3 linked regions of the Cricetulus griseus genome follow. The protein of the gene in region 2 binds, or shares a complex with, the protein of the main gene of each other region. Links are inferred from orthologs where the notes say so. Each region holds a gene or a part of one and is shown on either strand. Other genes may lie near its edges. The genes, in order: Nr5a2, Nr0b2 and Nr5a1.

The links.
Region 1: the proteins of Nr0b2 (region 2) and Nr5a2 are in contact, whole or in part, in a crystal structure (PDB 1YUC), measured with the Homo sapiens proteins. The link is inferred for Cricetulus griseus from reciprocal best matches to the Homo sapiens genes NR0B2 and NR5A2. Residues at the interface, in NP_068804.1 of Homo sapiens: Arg17, Pro18, Ala19, Ile20, Leu21, Tyr22, Leu24, Leu25, Ser26, Ser27, Ser28; in NP_995582.1 of Homo sapiens: Phe354, Val357, Arg361, Phe366, Val371, Asp372, Gln374, Met375, Leu378, Gln379, Asn529, Asn530, Leu531, Glu534, Met535.
Region 3: the proteins of Nr0b2 (region 2) and Nr5a1 are in contact, whole or in part, in a crystal structure (PDB 1YMT), measured with the Mus musculus proteins. The link is inferred for Cricetulus griseus from reciprocal best matches to the Homo sapiens genes NR0B2 and NR5A1. Residues at the interface, in NP_035980.1 of Mus musculus: Thr19, Ile20, Leu21, Tyr22, Leu24, Leu25, Ser26; in NP_001303616.1 of Mus musculus: Ile275, Val278, Arg282, Phe287, Val292, Gln295, Met296, Leu299, Gln300, Asn450, Leu452, Glu455, Met456.

The regions. Positions count from the first base shown.
Region 1 is NC_048598.1:52,341,046-52,344,715, reverse strand, and holds part of Nr5a2 (nuclear receptor subfamily 5 group A member 2), read right to left. Parts: intron 3,024-3,670; coding exon 2,377-3,023; intron 1-2,376. UniProt on the Homo sapiens protein: Orphan nuclear receptor that binds DNA as a monomer to the 5'-TCAAGGCCA-3' sequence and controls expression of target genes: regulates key biological processes, such as early embryonic development, cholesterol and bile acid synthesis pathways, as well as liver and pancreas morphogenesis.
Region 2 is NC_048595.1:19,710,335-19,714,675, forward strand, and holds Nr0b2 (nuclear receptor subfamily 0 group B member 2), read right to left. Parts: upstream 2,927-4,341; coding exon 2,386-2,926; intron 666-2,385; coding exon 424-665; 3' UTR 162-423; downstream 1-161. UniProt on the Homo sapiens protein: Transcriptional regulator that acts as a negative regulator of receptor-dependent signaling pathways. Specifically inhibits transactivation of the nuclear receptor with which it interacts.
Region 3 is NC_048599.1:149,962,777-149,966,446, reverse strand, and holds the end of Nr5a1 (steroidogenic factor 1), read left to right. Parts: intron 1-2,055; coding exon 2,056-2,303; 3' UTR 2,304-3,403; downstream 3,404-3,670. UniProt on the Homo sapiens protein: Transcriptional activator. Essential for sexual differentiation and formation of the primary steroidogenic tissues. Binds to the Ad4 site found in the promoter region of steroidogenic P450 genes such as CYP11A, CYP11B and CYP21B.

The sequences.
Region 1 (3,670 bases), on a different chromosome or scaffold from region 2:
GCACCACCACTGCCCTGCCTGTTTTTTTTTCTAAGTTCTTCTTTATTATATTTTATTTATATTTATTTAATGTGCATTGGTGTTTTTACATGCATGTATGTCTGTATGAAGGTGTTGGATCACCTGGACCTCGAGTTATAGACAGTTGTGAGCTGTCTTGTAGGTGTCCTGGGTCCTCTAGAAGAGCAGTCAGTACTGAGCCATCACCCCAGCCCCCACTGATTTTTAAAACACATTTCTTCGTAGTCTTTTCTAAAAGAAATTTGTTGTTCTTTTTTGTTTTGAGACAGGATCTCATTCTGTAACCCGGGCCAGCCTAGAACTCACTGTGTGAACTAGATGGCCTTGAACTCACAGCAAACCTCCTGTCCTAACCCTCTGAGTGTTGGGATTACAAACATATGCCTCTATACCAGGTTGTCTTGGTTTGGTTTTCTTTTAAGAAATTATATATGCAAAATTATATGCAAAATTATTAGAAACTTTAGGAAGAAATATCTTTTATCTCAACCAACTTTATATTCATCCTTACACAGCTAACTTACTACCTGGCTATTTCAGGAGTTGCTTTGACTATTCATCACAATACAATCATACCATCTCTTGTAACACTTGATTCATACCATTTCCCAGTGCCACATTAATAATGTAAGATTGAACATAAGGTTGTTACATAAAGTCTTTCATCAAGCAACTATAATAACTTAAAGAAAATACCCCTTTACTGTGCCTGCAGTGTCAAACCCAGAGTGCTAAGTACTTTTCACATACACGTTCGTGTCTTTCCTTGCAGAACCACCTCAACACAAACATCATTAGTTCTCTGGCACTCTTCCACAGTGCATGCAGTTTTACAGGTGAGAACATTAAGACTCTGGCAACACTGATCCCTGCCTGCAGTACACACAGCCACACACCCAGGGGATGTCATTCAGCTCAAGTCCATTTTACTAACCCCAATGGCTTTCCTCGTTTATATACATCACTTTGCCTTCCAGCTGCAGCCAAAAACACTTTCATTTTTAAGTAGCTCATCTGTCCTCATAGGGACATGGTTATGAATATAAAAGCACCCAGAAAATTAGAGTGTTTGGTTTTTGCTTTTTAAATAAAGGATGCTCTCTCTTAGAGTGGTTCTCTATACTACCTACTCGGAAAGCACCTGGTTTTATCATGCTAGCTCAGTGTTTTCTGTTTGCTCTCAGCAGCCTAGTCACTTCACCTTCAGCCACCTTTCCGTGTAGCAATAAAGGACAGGAGAAAAAAAAGGTAGGCAGGATGTATCATCACTGCATGCTGCTGGCATTGGGTTAACCTATTTAGATCTACTCGGGTAATTCTGTTTCCACATACAAACATCTTGGCGCTGGAAGACTTCGGTGAAGAACATATCTTCCCTCAGCACATAGCTTCTATATTCCCCACCCCTCTGTCTGCACAGCACATGTTTAATGATAAGCCTTTCCACTAAAAGTCGGCCTATCGATAGGTTATCAGAAGTCACAGATACTTATCACCTCTCCCACCCTGACAGCAAAAGCATGAGGCTGATTTTATAATGAAATGGCCTTAGAAATCAAAGTTAGGGATTTGCTTAAATTGGGAATGGAATGATTAGTTACAAAATGTGGTTTGGTCACTGCTCAGATGCCAAACTCCTAAATAACTTGCCTGTATTAATTCAGTTTTAAGTTTCAGGAAATAAAATAATCATGTAGTTAAACACAGATCCTTATGCAAACAAGTGGTGTGTTTACAACGCACCAACCCATTTACTTAAACCGCAGACATTTGCAAGGAACCCAACAGACAAGCACTGGCCATTGGCTCACTCCCCATGCAATAAAGTCAGCATCCTACTGGAATCTGTTCTGAAAACAATGGTTTTACTGCCCTAATGTCAGGGCAAACAAATAGTAAATGCCTACTTGACACCACTAGGCAGTGGTATCATCTGCACTTTGCAAGATCTGAAACAATTAAACATTGGCATTTTTTCCCCTTTGAAAAGAAACCTTCCAGATAATATCATTATAACATAGTTTGTGACGTAGTCACTTGAAAAAATTAGTTTAGTAGCTGTTTGATGTTGCATTTTGGGGGAAACAAACCATCTCTGAGTTAGAAGAGATGAGTGCATTCTGCTATATGGGAACAAAACAGTACTTAATGTCTTGTTCAACAGCATATCCCAATTAGGAGCTACCCAGAACCAAAGCCCTATCAAGTTAAGCTGTAATAACCTTGCAGTAATAGTCACAAAGACCTCTTGTTTAAGTCATATAAACAAAAGGAGAACCTATTCTAAGCACCAAGAACATAAGTAATGGTGAGGAACCTAGTCAGATCTTTGAGAGGAGAGTAGGCATGACATACCTTCAGTTCTCTGAAGAAGATACTACTCCTGGCCCATTCAACAATGGAGAAGAGGGTCAGGTCCGCCATTTTGCACATAAGCCCAAACGTGTTCAGCTTTCCATGCTTGCCTCGGAGGCCCTGGTCCTCCTGTAACTGAGATGAGATTTTCCCTTGAACTCGAGGCTCATCTGGCTCACACTTCAAAAGTTCCAGGATCAGATGTGGGATGCTGGCTGGGGAGCTCGTCTGATAACCATCCATGTAGGGGTAGCCCATCATTGACTCAGGTGAGCTGGTGTAAGGATCTGGATACTCAGACTTGATGGCCCGATTAGGAAAGTGACCATATGGTTGGTAACCTTGCAGGCTGCCATGAGGTGGCATTGTCATGCTAATGGGAGATGTGACAAAGGGACTTCTGTCATAGTCTGTGGGAGGCAAGGCAGCATGGTTTAGAGGTAGGCCTTTGGAGACAGAATGAATGTTCTGAATTGCAGAGGAGATGGTCAGGTCTGAGGGCATCCCTTGGATCACTTGAGACATGGCTTCCAGCTTAAGTCCATTGGCTCGAATGAGAGCTTTCTTCTGTTGCTTGAGGGCCCTGTCTCTCTTGTACATTGGCCCAAACTTATTTCTGCCTCCTCGCATGCGGTCAGCTCTTACGGCTATTGACAGAGGAGAAAGGAAGGGTATATAAGAGGGAAGTTAGCATTCTGCAAGATCTCTAGACATTTCAAATTATTGGTAATTCACAGGAAGTGATTTCAGTGCATGTGTGTATGTTGTGTGTATTTTCATTGTGATAACCTACAGAGATATTCCAAGAAGAAATGCCTTCCTAATGAATTCTTTCCTTCAAGTGGGCTTTGTTATCAAAAACATATTTTGGGAAACCTGTGTGGACTGAAAAAGTTTCACAACAGATATTTAATATTCATGGGGGAGCGGGTTCCTTTCTGGGTAGGCCAGTTTCTAGTATGCAAGCTATGTCATGATTTCTCATGGAAACCAAAATTGTATTCCTGCTGTGTACCTGTGTATGTGTCTGTGTCATTTTTGTTTTGTTTTGTTTTGTTGTTTTAAAGAAAAAGAGAATCAACTCATTTCGGAATTAAGTACCTCCTCTCCCAACATCGTCCTCATTAGCTGTGATTTTTGGACACTTTGTTACAAAGGTTAGTTAAGTACAGGTTCTTCTTGGAAAACCCCTTTCACCTGGACTTGATGACAGCACATTCGAAAAACCACCAGCCATGCTTTGAATTTAAGGGGGATTGGACGTAATTAAAACAAAGTCATTTCAAAAGTTGAC
Region 2 (4,341 bases):
AGTTGTAAAATAAACCTTGTCCCCAGCATTGAGGTCACTGTCCCTCTCTAGAACACTAAGGAGCTGGTTTCTGCTTACATTCCAGGAGTTCCATCTGGCAAGAGGAGCATGCACCCTGAAGAACGGCTTGCCCCTTCCATAGGCAACCGTGGTGTCAGCAGGTCATACCTTTTATTACAAAAATCAATAACTTAATTGAGTTCTATACAAAGTCAGGAGGAATTCTGGCCTGAAGTACAGCCTCATTCATGCTCCCATCTCTGTCCCTGGCCCAAAGACTTTGGGGGGCCACCAAGGACCTATTAGGCAGTTAGTATACTGTGTCCAAACCAAGGAAGTCCAAGCTGGGGGCATGGCTGAGGTGAGGGCTGCTCCTGGGGAGTTGAAGCTCCCCTTTGGAAGCCCTGGATTCCACTCTGCAGGTCACCTCAGCCAAAGCATGTCTTCCAGCAGTTCAGCGATGTCAACATCTCCGATGATAGGGCGGAAGAAGAGATCCACCAGAAGGCTGCATGAAATGTTCTTGAGAGTAGAGGCCATGAGGAGGATTCGGGCCAGGCGGCCTTGGCTAGCAGGGTACCAGGGCTCCAGGACTTCACACAAGGCCCAGTGAGCCTCCTGCTGCAGGTGGGAGATGTGGCAAGAGGCATGGAGGCCTGGCACATCTGTGGCAGAGAGGGTGAAGAGGGCTGGTGAGCAGCTGCTCCGTGGAGGCTAGCCCAGGGTGTGAGAATGTTAGTGGCTCCCCCCCTCATATGCCGGGGTGCAATGCAGGGCCTCGTGCATACTAGGGCATGCTTGGCAGGCATTCTACATTTGGGCTGAACATTGCTGGTTCCTTTAACATGCCAGGCGATAGTTGTACCACTGAACTACATTCCCAGCCCTTACAGATACAGAAGAGACCTAATTGTTTGGTGGTGTTAGGCAACAAACCCAGGACCTGTAGCTCGGGAGGTAATACTTTACTAATGAGTTCCACGCATTGGCCCACTCTGCCACCTTGGAGGTTTCAATCACCATCTCCTACATTTTATTCCATTTATGTGGAGATAAGGGCTGAGACATACGAGTTAGAGAGATGGCTCTGTGGTTAAGGGCACTTCCTGCTATGACTGAGGACCTGAGTCCGGTTCCCACCTACATTGTGGCTCACAACTGCCTATAATTCCAATTCCTGACACCCTCTTCCGGCTTCTGTGAGCTCCCACCAGATGATACACATACATACAGGTAGAAACTTACACACATAAAATAATATCTAAATAATTCTTTTCTTATTTTGTTTTTTGAGACAGATTTTCGAGGTGGTGACACACTTTTAATCCCTGTACTTGGGAGGCAGAGGCGGTTAGATCTCTGTGAATTCAAGACCAGCCTGGTCTACAGAGCTACTTCCAGGACAGTCAGAGCTGTTACATAGAGAAACTCTGTTTCAAAAAACAAAACAAAAAGCCAAAACCAAAAAAGAACCAGAGGCCGGTTGTTCGTGGCAGGCCTTTAATCCCAGCACTCGGGAGGCAGAGGCAGGCGGATCTCTGTGAGTTCGAGGCTGGCTGAATTTGAATCCCAGCACTGCCACTGTGAGCTCAGTGATCTTGGACAAGTAGTTTCATCTTTCTGAGTGACCTTAGATGAGTAGTTTAAATCTCTGTGCCTTAGTTTCTTCATCTATCTAGTGGGAACAATGACAATACTTGTTGCCCACTACTGCTGTGAGGTTTAACCAAATCACTATTTGTAAAACCCTTAGGCTAAGTCCTGACATATGGGAAATGCATGTGATTCTTTGGTACTGTTACTGCCGTTTGGCGTTACACTTTAACTTCCAAGGCCTGTCTCTTGTCTTCCTCAAAGTTACAAAGAATATTTTCCCATGCCAGGCATGGTGTTAGTTTGAGGTCAACTTGCTTTACGTAGTGAGTTCTAGGCCAGCCAGGGTTCCGTGGTAAAACCGCCTCATTTCTCCTCATCGCCCCTCACCCCACCCCATCTGCTCTCCACCCAAGAAGTGACCACTCCCCACCCTTCCATTCTTTCTGTGTGGCCGCTCTGAACCCACGGAGGACTTTAACCTTCAGAACTTCACTGTGCAGCCTGCCCTTGAAGAAGGCAGACACTGCACACGGCGGTGTCTGCCTTACCCACTCTACCCTTCCAGCACAGCGGCAAAGACCAATCTCTGCATTAGCTTGACTTGCATTCCCAGGCCTGTTCTGCCTCTGCCTTACTGTGTGGCCTTCAGGTAGTTGCTTAACCTCCCTGTCTCTCCTGGGAGATACCTGTTTGGAGCTAACAAGGACGCAAAGAGACAACGATTCTTTTCCTGGACGGGTCCTGTCCCCTCCCAGCGTGGCCCCCATCCAGGAGTGTCTGGGAGCTCACCTGGGTTGAAGAGGATGGTTCCTTTCAAGTAGGCATACTCCTTGGGACCCAGCTCAAGGCTCCAGAAAGACTCCAGACAACGCTGGAGCCACTGCACGGCAGCCAGTGAGGGCTGTGGCCGGTCGGGTAGCTGGGTACCCTGCGTACCACTGCTGGGTTCCTCCAGAAGGATTTTTTTAAGTATACTGGGCACTGGAGCCTCAGCTATCTCAAAGGTCACAGTATCTTGGGCCAGCCCAAGCAGGAAGAGAGGGCCCCAGCAGACCCCCAGCAGCCGTCGCTGATCCTCATGGGGCAGGTGGCAGAAGGACGGCAGGTTCCTGAGGAACGCTACTGTCTTGGCTAGGACATCCAAGGCCTCCCGGCAGGTGCGCTGTGGAGCACTCAGACGGACAGGCCGGTGCTGCTGGCAGAGGCAGTGGCTGCGAGATGCGGGTGCAATGGGCCTGGCCCTGAGGCTGGGGCTTAGAAGCGCGTACAGAATAGCAGGGCGGCCTGCAGAGCCCTGGCAGGGGCAGCCCCCAGACTGGCTGGAGTTCATGGTTGGTATCTCGCTCCTGTTTCTTCCCAGCTATCGGTCCTCTGTACTGTGAGTGCTATTTATATCCTCGATGGCGGGAGGGGGAATGGCCGTGGAACCTTGACTCCAGAAGTCATGTTCATTGAAAAAAAAAAAAAAGCCAACATACACACACAATGCACACATACACTGACCCTGGCAGGACCGGAGGGGGAGGGGCACTGGAGCTCCACGTGGCGTTGCTATCGCTTTAGTCAATGAAGTGGCCATTGCAGGGCACAGGGCCACCTGCCCACTGCCTGGATGCCCTTTATCGGATGACTCAGTGTATAAACAAGGTCATTAACCCAGGCTGTACCAGGGCACCAAGGTCTCAGGTGCTCAACCAGCCAGTGGCTGTGACTGCTGCTGTTTCGATTGGAGCCCACTTTCATGCACACAAGACCAGGGTTCTCACTGAGCCAAGGAGCCAGCCAGAGAAAGCCAGCTAAGGCCTTGAATGCCTGACCCAGCCTGGAAGTGCCTTATCGCTGCTGTGTTTGCCTAACCTTGGGGCTCTGCTCCTGTTGTCGGTAAGGAACAGGCTGCAGGGAAGGGAGCCAGGTCCCTGGGGGACTTTGCTCATTGTACAGTCTAGGAGGTACCCCCTCCTGTGACTCCAGTGCAGAGGCCCCGTTGGAGGAAGGCCATTCCAGAGCCCCCTGCTCCCATTCTGTGCTCCAATAGCTCCAGAGGGGCTGGGCCTGCTGGCCCTTGCAAAATTGTTACTTACAAGGCTGCCAGTTACTGAGGACCCACTCTATATGGATCACTTTCCCTTGTAATGTTGAGAACTTCCCAGAGAAGTGACCTGCTCAAAGTCACTCCAACCAGAAGGGACAGAGCACAGATATGTCTGACCTCGAAGTCATCCTTGTTTGCCCCTCCCCCCCCCCCAATCAACTGTGCAGCTGAAGTGTGAATTTCCCAGCACAGGTGGCTAGCAGCTACCCCCACTCCCAGCCCCCAGCCCCTGCCTGGTCTGCAGGTGTGGCCCACCTATGGTGCGACTGGAAACATCTCTGCTAACACGCCGCTTCTCTGCCCTGGATATTTGTCTTCAGTGGTTAGAGGCGAGGTATGAGGGAAATGGGAGGTCCTTGGCTGTGTCAGGTTCCTGACCTTTGGCTAGCCTTGCCTAGCAGGTTTGTTGTCGCCACACTCTTGGGCAACCTGGTGCTCCGGATGAGGAGCCCTGGCATCTGGTCTTGGCTCCATGATTCCCAGTCAGCTGCTCTCCAGGGTTCTGTGAGCCTTGGTGGAGACAATCAGGGCTCCTGTGGTATTGGGACTTGACAGAGCAAGGTTCTGTGTAGGCCAAGAAGCTGCCCCCACTCTATCCTTTAGACAGGCAGCCACACTGCTTTCACTGTAGTGCTGTCTACCTCAGCCCAGGC
Region 3 (3,670 bases), on a different chromosome or scaffold from region 2:
GTGGATGGAACAGAGATGGGATTGGAATGGGGAAAAGATTGAGGCAAGGACAGATGGGATCAGTAGGCATCTCTTGCTTCCAGACCAACTTGGTGGATTGACTTCCTATGATCACCTTTAACTGCAGTGAAGCTAGCCAGGCTAGAGAGTCGGGTTGCTATGTACAGTTGGGTTGGTTTCACTGTACAGGGGCACTGAAGCAGGGAAGGACTGGGCTTGGATTTAGGTATATCTCTCCAGAGGGAGCTTTTTTCTAAAGTACATAAAGATGTCTCATGAACTGGTGGCTATCCCAGGGAGTAGAGGAAGAAAATGACTCTGGCTCATTTATTGGAGGGTGATGGGAGCCAGGGTGGAGGCCAGCAGCTGCCAAATCCTGCCATACGACTCAGGCCCAGCTCGGGTTTCCCTAAATCCATCTTTGAACAACACAGGCCCCAGGGGGTGTGCTGGGGGTGGCAAGGATCAGGGTTGCCAGGCACCTCAGCTTTCCTGGTGCAGTGGGTGTTAAGAGGGATTAGAGGGCCAAGAGCGCATGCTGGCCCAACTCCCCACAGTGGAAAGACTGGGGTGCATCAAGGGAGCAAAGCAGATGAGTGACCCATCTTCTGACCCCCTGGAAGCCACAGCTCAGGGAGGCCAGGATAGGCTCTGGGGCTGATGTTAAACTTCTAGGTAGGGCATGAGCTAAAAAAGGCTGGGAGCTGGGAGCTGACCAACAAGGAAAGGTTCCAAACACCCCATTTCCAGCACCCTTCTCTGAGGAAGGTTACCTTTATGCCGAATAGAGAGGCACTCTTCCACAGGGCTGCTGCTCCTAACCAGCTCCAAAGACCTCTTTTGTGTCTAGCCCAGGACTAAGGCCCAAGGATGCTCTGCTCACACTTCAGCTCCTGCCACCTGCTCCTTTCTCTGTAACAGCGAGCTGGTCCTCCATGTCTAACTACAGCTTCATGGTCACCATTGTTCTCACACAGCATGTCTGTGTGGTGACAGCTAGCCTGCCTGCCTTCCTTCCTCCCACTCCCTTCATGTTTTGATAGCATAGAGGAGAGAACCAGGGCCTGTGTGTGACAGGCTACTTTAAGCCACACTTCAGCACCATTTTAAATTTATGTGAATGGCTTTACTTTAAAAACTTCCAGCTCTTCTGTTGCCTCTCACTTCCCACTGCACCCCACTTTTCAACATGGCTCTATGTGCTCTAGGTCTGTTCATTCTACAACTCCCCAGATGTAACTGGCACACAGCCACCTAGGCCCCTCTTCCTCACCATGAGCAGTGCTGCAAAGAAGCTGATTCCAGAACCCCAGGACTGAATTTATGGAGTCTCTTTCCAGGGCATATCCAGAGTACTCATGGGATTGACACCCCAAGACAGGTCCTTTTGACAGTGATGTTCATGCCTGGGGGCTAGGGGGTTAGCCACAGCTAGACTTTGATGTGTTTTCCCATGAGTCAGTACCTTACATTTCTGGAGGGACCAGTGCATCTCATTTTATAGATGAGAAAATGGAGAGGTGTAAACACCACACCTGGCCATGCACCTGCTGCTGTTGATGATGATCTTGGTGATTGTCAAGTATCCATAGTGACAGCAGCAGTGATGACTGAGCTAGTGATATGATTTACTGGTTGGTGATGGTGGTGACCATACTGGTGATAAAACAGGGATTTTTAGGTGTTTTAAATGCCTTTAATCCACTGGGGAGACAGGGAAAAGTAGGTGGGTCTCTGTGAGTTCAAGACCAGCCTGGTCTACAAAGTGAGTTCCAGGCCAACGAAGGAGATCTATGTGACCCTGTCTCAAAAATAAAGAGAAGAAAAAAAAAATCAAAGGAAGCACAAGCTTAGGAAACTAACCAAAATGATGTCAGTGATGTGCTGGTCCCAGGGTGGAGATAGGGAGGTTGCCATTGAGAGGCTCATGGCAGTCTCTGTACCCATAGGTTTGGTATCCCCTGGGAATGTGGTGTTGGTAATACTGCTGACAGTGTCAGCCCAACTTTGGTGGTGGCACAGTGACTGGAGGGTGATGGACTGCTCCCGTTGCAGATGTGAAATTCCTGAACAACCACAGCCTGGTGAAGGATGCCCAGGAGAAAGCCAACGCTGCCCTGCTGGATTACACCTTGTGTCACTACCCGCATTGCGGGGACAAATTCCAGCAGTTGCTATTGTGCCTGGTGGAAGTAAGGGCACTGAGCATGCAGGCCAAGGAGTACCTGTACCACAAGCATTTGGGCAATGAGATGCCCCGCAACAACCTTCTCATTGAGATGCTGCAGGCCAAGCAGACTTGAGCCTGGGCACCTGGAAACAGGCAGTAGGTGGGGATGCCACTGCCTCCAAATGACTCATTGCATTAGGTGATCCAGGAGTCCTGTCCTTAGGCCCCTGCCCCCGAGTTCTGGAGCTGTGTGCTTGGGATGGTGGGTCAAAGATGGACAGGGACTACCTGGGGCAGGTTGCCTTCACCAGCCACTGGCACAAACCTGCCACTTGGAGTGCCCCAAGGAAGTGGCTTCTAGCCACTCCTTCCTCCATCTGCCCCCAGATTCTTTCCTGGCATCTGAGGTACAAGTCCCGGGAGGAGGTTTGGGATTCCCTGGATGTTCCTTGGGTCAGAGGTCATCCTTTCCCTCTCTCCTGTAATCAGAGGCAGGGGAAGGTCTACAGCATAAATGAGGGCAGAGGAGGGTCTCTAGACTCCCCTGAAGAAGGGAAGGAAGTCCAATGTTGTAAACTGAGTTTGCTAAATTGGGTAGGGTCTTCCCTGGAGGGTACCAAGAGACTGGGTCAGGTACAAAGACCCCTCTCCAGCTCTCCACCTGTCTAATTCTGATTCATTACCTGAAAAAAGACTTTGTTGTAATCATCTTCCTATCCACCCAGGGAGGAGGAGTCTGGTGTTGTCAACATTTGTACCTTGGCTGGGCTGGTACTTATTTGTAAGTTTGTAGTCACCAGGATTCTTTGGTGTTTGCTTTTCCTTTCCCCTAGACAGTCCTTGGAAGGAAAGAGAGAGAGAGAGAGAGAGAGAGAGAGAGAGAGAGAGAGAGAGAGAGAGAGAGACAGCAGGAGATAGATTGAGGACTGAGCTGGGATGTGGGGATTAGCACTGAAGTTTTTTCTCCTGATATCTCATTCCAAGAGTCAGGGTGGCATCGGGTCATCTTTATGTACCCCACCTTACTCCAGAGAAGAGCTGTTGCTTGCCCTCTGCCTGCTCCACTAGAGTCCCTGCAGGTGGGGATATGGGAAACCTAGGAGGACTCAGGAGTCTTTAGATGGAGGCAGTGCTGAGGAGTCTCTCCTCTCATGGCTTCATCCTTTTGGGTCTCCTGCCACAACTCTAGAAGCTGGCCTCAGTTGCCTGACCTCTGCTTTGTATCCTGGAAGTCTCTTTTCAGGGCCAGACACTGAGGGTGGGGTGGGGTGGGGGGAAGACCTAAGCCATCCTCTGTTCCAGACTGGGCATCCATTGTCCTTCCTGCGATCATATCAGATTTACAGCTTATGCTAGGCCTGCCCGGCTGGACAAGGCTGCCTCCTGCCTTCCACCACCCTGCCTCAGACCCCACCTCTGCCCCTGAAATGTGTGCCCCTGCCAAGGCCAAGACCAACTGCTCCGAAACAAGAAGTGCCCTTACAAGCCCCTGCACCCCTG